Oryctolagus cuniculus: one gene and its partner. The protein of the gene in region 1 interacts with the protein of each later gene in a biochemical or structural test. Links are inferred from orthologs where the notes say so. Each region holds a gene or a part of one and is shown on either strand. Other genes may lie near its edges.

Region 1 (4,077 bases):
CCGGCCCCCGGCCCCCGGCCCCCGGCCCCCCGGCCATGAACTGTGCAGCACGGGGCGGGGGGGCTTCAACCAGGCTCAGGTCCCGTGGGCCTTTGCAGTGACCTTGCTTTAACCGGCCCCTGTTATCTGGAGCTATGCTGAACCCATTTCGGTAATGGCGAGGCGGATCCCCAAGACCATGGCCCCTGGGGATTCCGTACCTGCCTCTGTCGGTACCCGGTGCCCAGTTCAGCCGCCCGACTTGGAAGAAAAGTGTTCTTGGGGGCGTCGCCTGGCACCCCCTAATCCCATCCCTGTCCCCTGGGAAGAAGGGCTTGTTTGAATTTTCAGGGAAAGTCACCGGATGCCAGAGGCCTCCTGGGGGGCGGGGGGGGGGGTGGCGAGCCTGGGAGACCCCAGCCAGCATCTGGAGAGAGCAAGCCCTGGGTGGGGTCCCTGAGCAGGATGCCTGTGCAGGCGCTGTAGTTTAGAGACCCTGGTGTGGGTTATCTGTGTGCAGGTTGAGCCCCAGGTCCCGGGTGTCTGCAGCTGGCTTCTCCCTGCAGGGCACCCCCACCCCCTTGCAGGCTGCATCCTGCACGGGTGTGGACGTGAGCGGACAGACTATATAACTGGAGTCAGCCGGGGGCGGTCTTGGACTTGCCCTGACTGGCGGAGCCTGGGGAGAGGGTGGGGGTGGGGGTGGGCGGAAGGTCCAGACCCCTGCTGAGTCTCCTCGGCTGCCCTCCACCAAGGGGGCCTCTTTCTGAGTGATGTCGATCTCCCGCATTGAGACCCCTGGCCTGGCTCTGGGGTTTGCAGCTTCGGGCGGGTCACTGTTTAGTCTGGGGTCTTGCTTCCTACCCATAGCTCAGTCTGGGAGGAAACCAGAGATAAAGACCGGATGAGACACTATCTTCCCCGCCGCAGGAGCTAGGCAGACTCCACAGGCCGAGCCCGGGCCCCAGGTCCGTCTGCAGATGGGGGAAACCGAGGCAGAGTGACGGCTGTCACTTGGAGCCCCACACAGCCAGACAGAGGGAACTGAGCGGGTCGCGCCCCCGACCCCCGGTTTAGAGACCCCAGCGTTGGAACCCATCCTGGTGGGGTCTTCCACTCGGCCCCCTTGCTCGCTGCGGCTGGCCACAGGCTCTGTGCCCCTGCGGCCGGCGGAGACCCGGCGGGGGCTCCACGGTTCCGCCGGAGGGGCGTGGCGTGGGGGCGGAGCCGGCTACCCAGGGGGGCGGGACCTCCCGCCAGGCCCCGCCCCCGCCGCGCCCGCCCTGCGGAGTCCGAGTCGCTGCCCGGGGAAACCCAGTTTCCGAGGAACTTTGCGCCGGGCCGCCAGCGACTTGGCCGGCGCGGGACTCGAACGCGCGGAGCGGGGGCGGCGGCGGCGGCGGCGGGCCCGGCACCATGGACGAGCCGCCCTTCAGCGAGGCGGCCTTGGAGCAGGCGCTGGCCGAGCCGTGCGAGCTGGACGCGGCGCTGCTGACGGACATCGAAGGTGCGCCGGGGCGGTGGGTGCGGAGGGTGGGGGACTCGCAGGAGGCGCCCCGGCCTTTGTCTCCCCGGCCGGCGTGGGGGACACGCGGGGGCTTCCCGGGGCTGCGGGCCGCCTGGGCGGGGTCGCGCCGGGGGTCCCGGGGCAGCTCGGCGCTGGCGGGGCGGGGAGGACACGTGCGCCTGGACGCGTCCCGGGCCCTGCGCCGCGGGGGCCGGCCCCGTTCCCCAGCCCCGTTGGCGGCCGCGGCTGGAGCTTGGGACCCGGGCGTCGCCGAGGCCCCGCCCCCGCCGTGACGTCCGCGCGGGGTTACTCACGGTCATTTCCCTCCGGCCTGAGAGTTCAGCCGGGCGCAGGCGCCTCTGCGCGTGCGCACGGTGCGGCCTCTTTGCCAGCCGCCGCCGCCGCCGCCGGAGAGGGTCTGGGTTCTGCGCACGCGTCGTAAAGCCACCACCGAAGGCCAGGCCCCCACCATCCAAGCCCACCCCACTCCACCCCACCACCACGTCGTAGACGCGGAGGGTTCGCAGACAGCTCAGACTTGAGGGCCAGCCCCGGGGCCAGCGGGGCGAGGGTAGAGGCCCCGGGCAGTGCCCAGGCGGGGCGCCCTGTCCCTAAGGAGCAGCTCCGGGCTGCAGGTGCTTCCACGTGGCAGGCCCGGCGAACCCCAAGTCCCAGGAAGTTCCCCCATGCACCTGCCGTGGGAAGACGCGAAGGCTAAGGGCAAAGGAGCAACCTGCATGGACGCTGGCACCCTGGTGGCCGCTGCCCTGCGCAGCCTATGGCTGCGACTTACAGGGATCCCCGTGGGCTCGGAGGGTCAGAGTTGAAGCTGGACCCTTTGCCATCCTGCTGGAGCCCCCTCGCCCGCCCACCGAGTCTCAGTCCCCCCTTTCCTCCCCCCGTAAGTGCCCCCTTCACGAGGGAGCTGGGACAGTTGACTCAGATCTGTGCCTGGCCTTCTCCCTGACTCCCGGGGCTTGGGCAGCCACGTGGGGGGCGTCGTTGGGGGGTCAGACGGGGCTTGAGTGCTCATCGGCGACAGCGAGGGAGGCTGGAGCCCTGCAGGACCAGGCGGGGGCGGTGGGCAGTGGCTGAGGTCTGCCCACTATGGGGGAGGGTCTCTCTCTCTGTCTTTACTCACCCTTTCTGTTCTTTTTCCTGGTTATGCAACACATTGGGTTTCTTTTTTTTCCATTGTAGAAAAAGTAGGAAGTGTTGATTAACAAAAGAAAGAAAATGTTTCTTAAATCTACCCACCAGAAATAAGCCCTGAAGCTTAATCCACTTTTTTTTTTTTTTTTAAGATGGATTTATTTCTTTGAAAGGCAAAGAGTTAGAGTGAGTTAGAGTTAGAGTCAGAGAGAGAGTTAGAGTTAGAGAGGTCTTCCATCTGCTGGTTCTGACTACAACAGCCAAGTGGGAAAGTCCATCCAGGTCTCCCACGTGGGTGCAGGGGCCCAAGCACTTGGGCCATCTTCCGCTGCTTTCCCAGGCCACAGCAGGGAGCTGGATCAGAAGTGGAGCAGCCGGGACTCCAACCAAGTGCTTATCTCGGATGCTGGTGCCACAGGTGGTGGCTTAACCTACCCAGTTGTAATACTGACCCTTTCATCCACTTTTTCAAAAACAGGGACCAGAGAGTTGTGGCATAGCCCATAAAGCCACCGCCTACAATACTGGCATCCCATGGGGGTGCCGGTTTGAGTCCTGGCTGCTCCACTTCCAATCCAGGCCCCTGTTAATGCACCTGGGAAAGCAGTAGAAGATGGCCCAAGTCCTTGGGCCCCTGTACCCACATGGGAGACCCAGAAGAAGCTCCTGGCTTCAGGCTGACCCAGCCCCAACTGTTAAAAGGATGAAAGATTCTCTCTCTGTCTCTCTCTCTCTCTTTATAACTCTGCCTTTCCAATGAGAGAAATAAATCTTTAACAAAACACCCACAAGTGTATTAAGGTACCAACTTTACACACTGGGAAATAGATACATTCTAAGCGAGCTATGCAACAGTTTCCAGTAGCGCCCTATGCAAGTTTCCAGTATGTGTACCAAGTAGCGGGCCCATCATCAGCTGCCCACTTGGACTCCTTGTAACTGTATGGTTTCTGCCCTTTCCTCCCCCACCCCCCAGGCTGTCTGCATTTTTTTTTTTTTTGGTGAATTACAGTAGCATCCATCCGGTTCCCAACAATGAGGATCTGCTTTGTTCCATGTCGCAGCCAGCGGCCAGCCGCTTCCCCCGCACTTCCACCTGCTAAAGACACCACAGTGGTTCTGTTCTCCTACCCTGTGCCGCAGTGGGCCCCCTCCCACCCCCGAGGCCAGCCTGTGCTGGGATCCTCACTTTGGTTCCTAAGGTCTGGGCTCTGGGAGGGGAGATTTGCTGGGGAGAGGATTTCTACAGAAGCCTCTATGGGGGCTGCCACCAGACTTGGCCCTGGGCAGGTTGGACACGGTCTGGAAGAGCCAGTGGGAAAGCCAGTTCCCCTGAGAGAAGTGAGGGTGGAGAGGCGCCCCAGGGACGAGCTGGGCTGGCTGGGGAGGGGGCAGCGCAGGGACATGACATGCGTGTTCCCTCGTGGCTGGGAGCTTGG
Region 2 (3,500 bases), on another chromosome or scaffold:
GTTCTATTAAAGTAAAATAAGCCTATTTGTAATTCGATGAAACTTGAAAATGTAATATACAAGCCTCTTTACATTATATTTTCCCCCCTTTCAAAGCTAATTCAGAGGCTTTCTCTGCCTTAAAAGCTTTTCTCTTAAAAGCTTTGTGTGTGTGTTGGTGATAGGCCAAGATAACTTTTTTAAAATGTAACACACACTTATATTTGTGACTTTTTCACCCCCTTTTTATCAGAGTGGTAACACTTACATGCCAAGAACTCTACTATGCACATGACACATTAAATCATTTAATCCTCACCAGAACCTTCTGGAAAAGTACTGTTATTACCCTCATTCTACAGAAAGACATTGAGGTAACCACGAGACAGGAGCAGAACCTGGGATTTTAAAAGGTACTGCTCACCTGCTTACAAGCTAGTTTGATGAAATGTAATGGCTATTATATGTAACAGTTGTTAAGTATTAGTGGAGAGTTTCTTTTTTGGTTGGAGTCTGATCCTTATTAGATTTTTGCATGGCATATCTGTTGTGATTTTACCAGCCTACTTCCCCTCCCCTTTCTCTCATTTTCACCCCATTTTTAGGTTCCATACCCCACGAAGTGCCTCAGATATTAATTAATAGGGAACCTTTGCCTCATCTACATTTTGATGTAGAGCTTCTTGGAGACTGTGATGTCATAATTAATGAACTGTGTCACAGGCTAGGTGGTGAATATGCCAAACTTTGCTGCAACCCTATAAAGCTTTCAGAAATTACTGAAAAACCTCCACGAACACAAAAAGAGTTGGTTCATTTGTCAGAGTTGCCACCAACACCTCTACATATTTCAGAAGATTCAAGTTCACCAGAAAGAACTTCACCACCAAATTCTTCAATGATTGTTAAGCTTATAGACCAAGCAACTAAGAGTAATGTGGACGATTCAGATGTCTCTCAATCAAAAGTTTGTATGGAAGAAAAATCACAGGAAGTACAGACTAATCCTAGGAATACTGAAAGTGTCACTGAACAGGTGGAAAATCCGGATATGAAGAGTGTTGGTTCCAATACTGGGGAGAAAAATGAACGAACCTCAGTTGCTGACACAGTGAGAAAGTGCTGGCCCAGCAGAATTGCAAAGGAACAGATTAGTAAGCGGCTCGATGGTAAGAGAGGCTGTTGAACTATTTTGTAAAGATGATTATGACAACTGCAAGAAGCTAGCAACTTGGCAGGCTAATATTGATTAGGGTATCTTTATGTAGCAACTAACTGTGTTCAGGGATGAAAAGTTAACAATTTTAGTTAGAAAAAGGTTGCTTGTATTATCTTATCATAGGGAAAAACTCATTTACTTGAAGTTAAAGCCCTGTATGGAGGGGTTGAGAAGGAACCTCCGTTTGTTATCATAGGTGAACTCTTTGTCAATGGGTTTACGAAGTTTAATATGTATAGGTCTTATAGACAATAAATTTTGATGCAGCAGATTGGTGGTGGGGCCTAATTTTCTGTCGGTGTCCAGACTACAGTGTGTGTGTGTGAAGACATTCACAAAATAAAAGTTACTGCAAATAATGAATTTGAAATAAGTACTTCAGTAAAATGAATTGGGTAGCTAATGTAGGCGGGGCTGGATACTTAATTTTAAACAAGTAGCAAACTAAGATTTGCACCCAGGACTACTAAGTTTACAGCTTGTTTTTAACAAAACACTATTAATAGTAATAGTCTGTAGTAGTGACACTTGTAAAAAAGGCAAAGCTGAAACCTACTCTTAATTCTAGGCTACCAAATAGTCTTAGAAGTTTGATTACTAACATTTCCCTTTTACTACCATATTTCAGGTAATCAGTATCTGTTTTTACCACCAAATCGTTATATTTTCCATGGCGCTGAGGTATATTCAGACTCTGAAGATGATGTCTTATCCTCTAGTTCTTGTGGAAGTAACAGTGATAGTGGCACATGCCAGAGTCCAAGTTTAGAAGAACCACTGGAGGATGAAAGTGAGATTGAAGAATTCTACAATGGCTTGGAAGATGATGTTGATGTTCCAGAGAGACCTGGAGGAACTGGATTTGGGGCTGATGGAGGTCTTCAAGAGGCAGTTAATGAAGCTGTATCTGTGAAACAGGAAGCAACAGATGTCAACTATCCATCAAACAAATCATAATGTTGCAGCTGTCCAGGTACAGGAATTGTTCCACCAGCATTAGGAACTTTAGCATGTCAAAGTGAATGTTTACTTGTGAACTCAATAGAGAAGGAAACCAGAAAGGTGTAATATTTATAGACTGGTAAAATAGGTGGTTTTTCATGGATAATTTTTTAACTTTATTATTTCTGTACACGCAACACTAACTTTTTGTTTTGAAAGAAAGGTACTAAGTATCTTTAACCAAATGTTGGTCAAGACTTTTTCACTTTCTTTCAAGGGTTCGTTTGTATGATACATCCATATGTATATATAATTTTTTGCCTAGTGAGTTTCAACATTTTAAATTCAAAAAGCCATTGGAATGTTAAATTAATGTAAAGGGAACAGCTTATCTAGACCAAAGAATGGTATTTTCACACTTTTCTTTATTACATTGAATGATTTGAAGTCCTCAAAATCTGTTCTGCTATACTTTTGATTTTTTAGCACAATTATCTATTTTTAAACACTGGCATTTTCCAAAACTTGTGGCAGCTAACTTTTTAAAAATCTGAAATGACATGCAACTTGAGTAGAATGAAGTCAACAATATGCAGGAAGGCACTCGGTTTATCTTTATGTAAAAGAAGGACTTGGTGCTAAGCATTTCAGGAATATTGTATCTGTTCAAATGAAGATGGCTTTTGTACTTCCTGAGGACATGTAATAATGTCTATATTGGCTCATAAAACTAACCTGAAAAACAAATGCTTTGGAAATGTTTCAGTTGCTTTAGAAACAATAGTGCCTGCCTGGACCCCCTTAGTTTTGAAATATTTGCCATTGTTTAAATACCTATCACTGTGGTAGAGCTTGCATCAATCCTGTTCTGTAAGTATTAAACTGGCAAGATGTGAATATGCAAAGCTTTTCTGAATCTATAGTTATGGTACTTCTACAGGGCAGAGTGTAATATTTTGGACTGCTGTTTTTCCATTAATGAGGAGAGCAACAGGCCTCTGATTACAGTTCCAAAGTAATAAGATGTTAATTTTAACTCAGCCAGAAAGTACATGTCTCCTTTGGGAGGATTTGGGGTAATAAATACCAAACTGCTAGCCTAGTATTATGGAAGGTGAACATGAAATAACTTGTAATAGCAGAACAGTTAATGAATGAAACTAGTTCTTACAATGTATCTTTATTTAAAAGCTTAGCCTGCCTTAAGACTTAGAGATCAACTTTCTAAGCTGCAGAAGCTTCTAGCCTTTCAAAAAAGTTCATACTTTATTATAAAATTGCACAGCACATTTATTTTCCAGACCTTTTTTGAACATTATGCCAATTATAAAGTATAAAGCATTTCTGTGTTGGCTTAGTA

What was found. The genes of interacting proteins can lie anywhere in the genome.
Region 2: of the proteins of SREBF1 (region 1) and SIRT1, one has a biochemical effect on the other in vitro, tested with the Homo sapiens proteins (2 studies listed by BioGRID, with this or other methods). The link is inferred for Oryctolagus cuniculus from reciprocal best matches to the Homo sapiens genes SREBF1 and SIRT1.

Annotation. Positions count from the first base shown.
Region 1 is NC_091448.1:62,549,911-62,553,987, reverse strand, and holds the start of SREBF1 (sterol regulatory element-binding protein 1), read left to right. Parts: upstream 1-1,277; 5' UTR 1,278-1,395; coding exon 1,396-1,503; intron 1,504-4,077.
Region 2 is NC_091446.1:59,858,212-59,861,711, forward strand, and holds part of SIRT1 (NAD-dependent protein deacetylase sirtuin-1), read left to right. Parts: intron 1-584; coding exon 585-1,148; intron 1,149-1,826; coding exon 1,827-2,155; 3' UTR 2,156-2,171; exon of another isoform or gene 2,172-3,500. UniProt on the Homo sapiens protein: NAD-dependent protein deacetylase that links transcriptional regulation directly to intracellular energetics and participates in the coordination of several separated cellular functions such as cell cycle, response to DNA damage, metabolism, apoptosis and autophagy.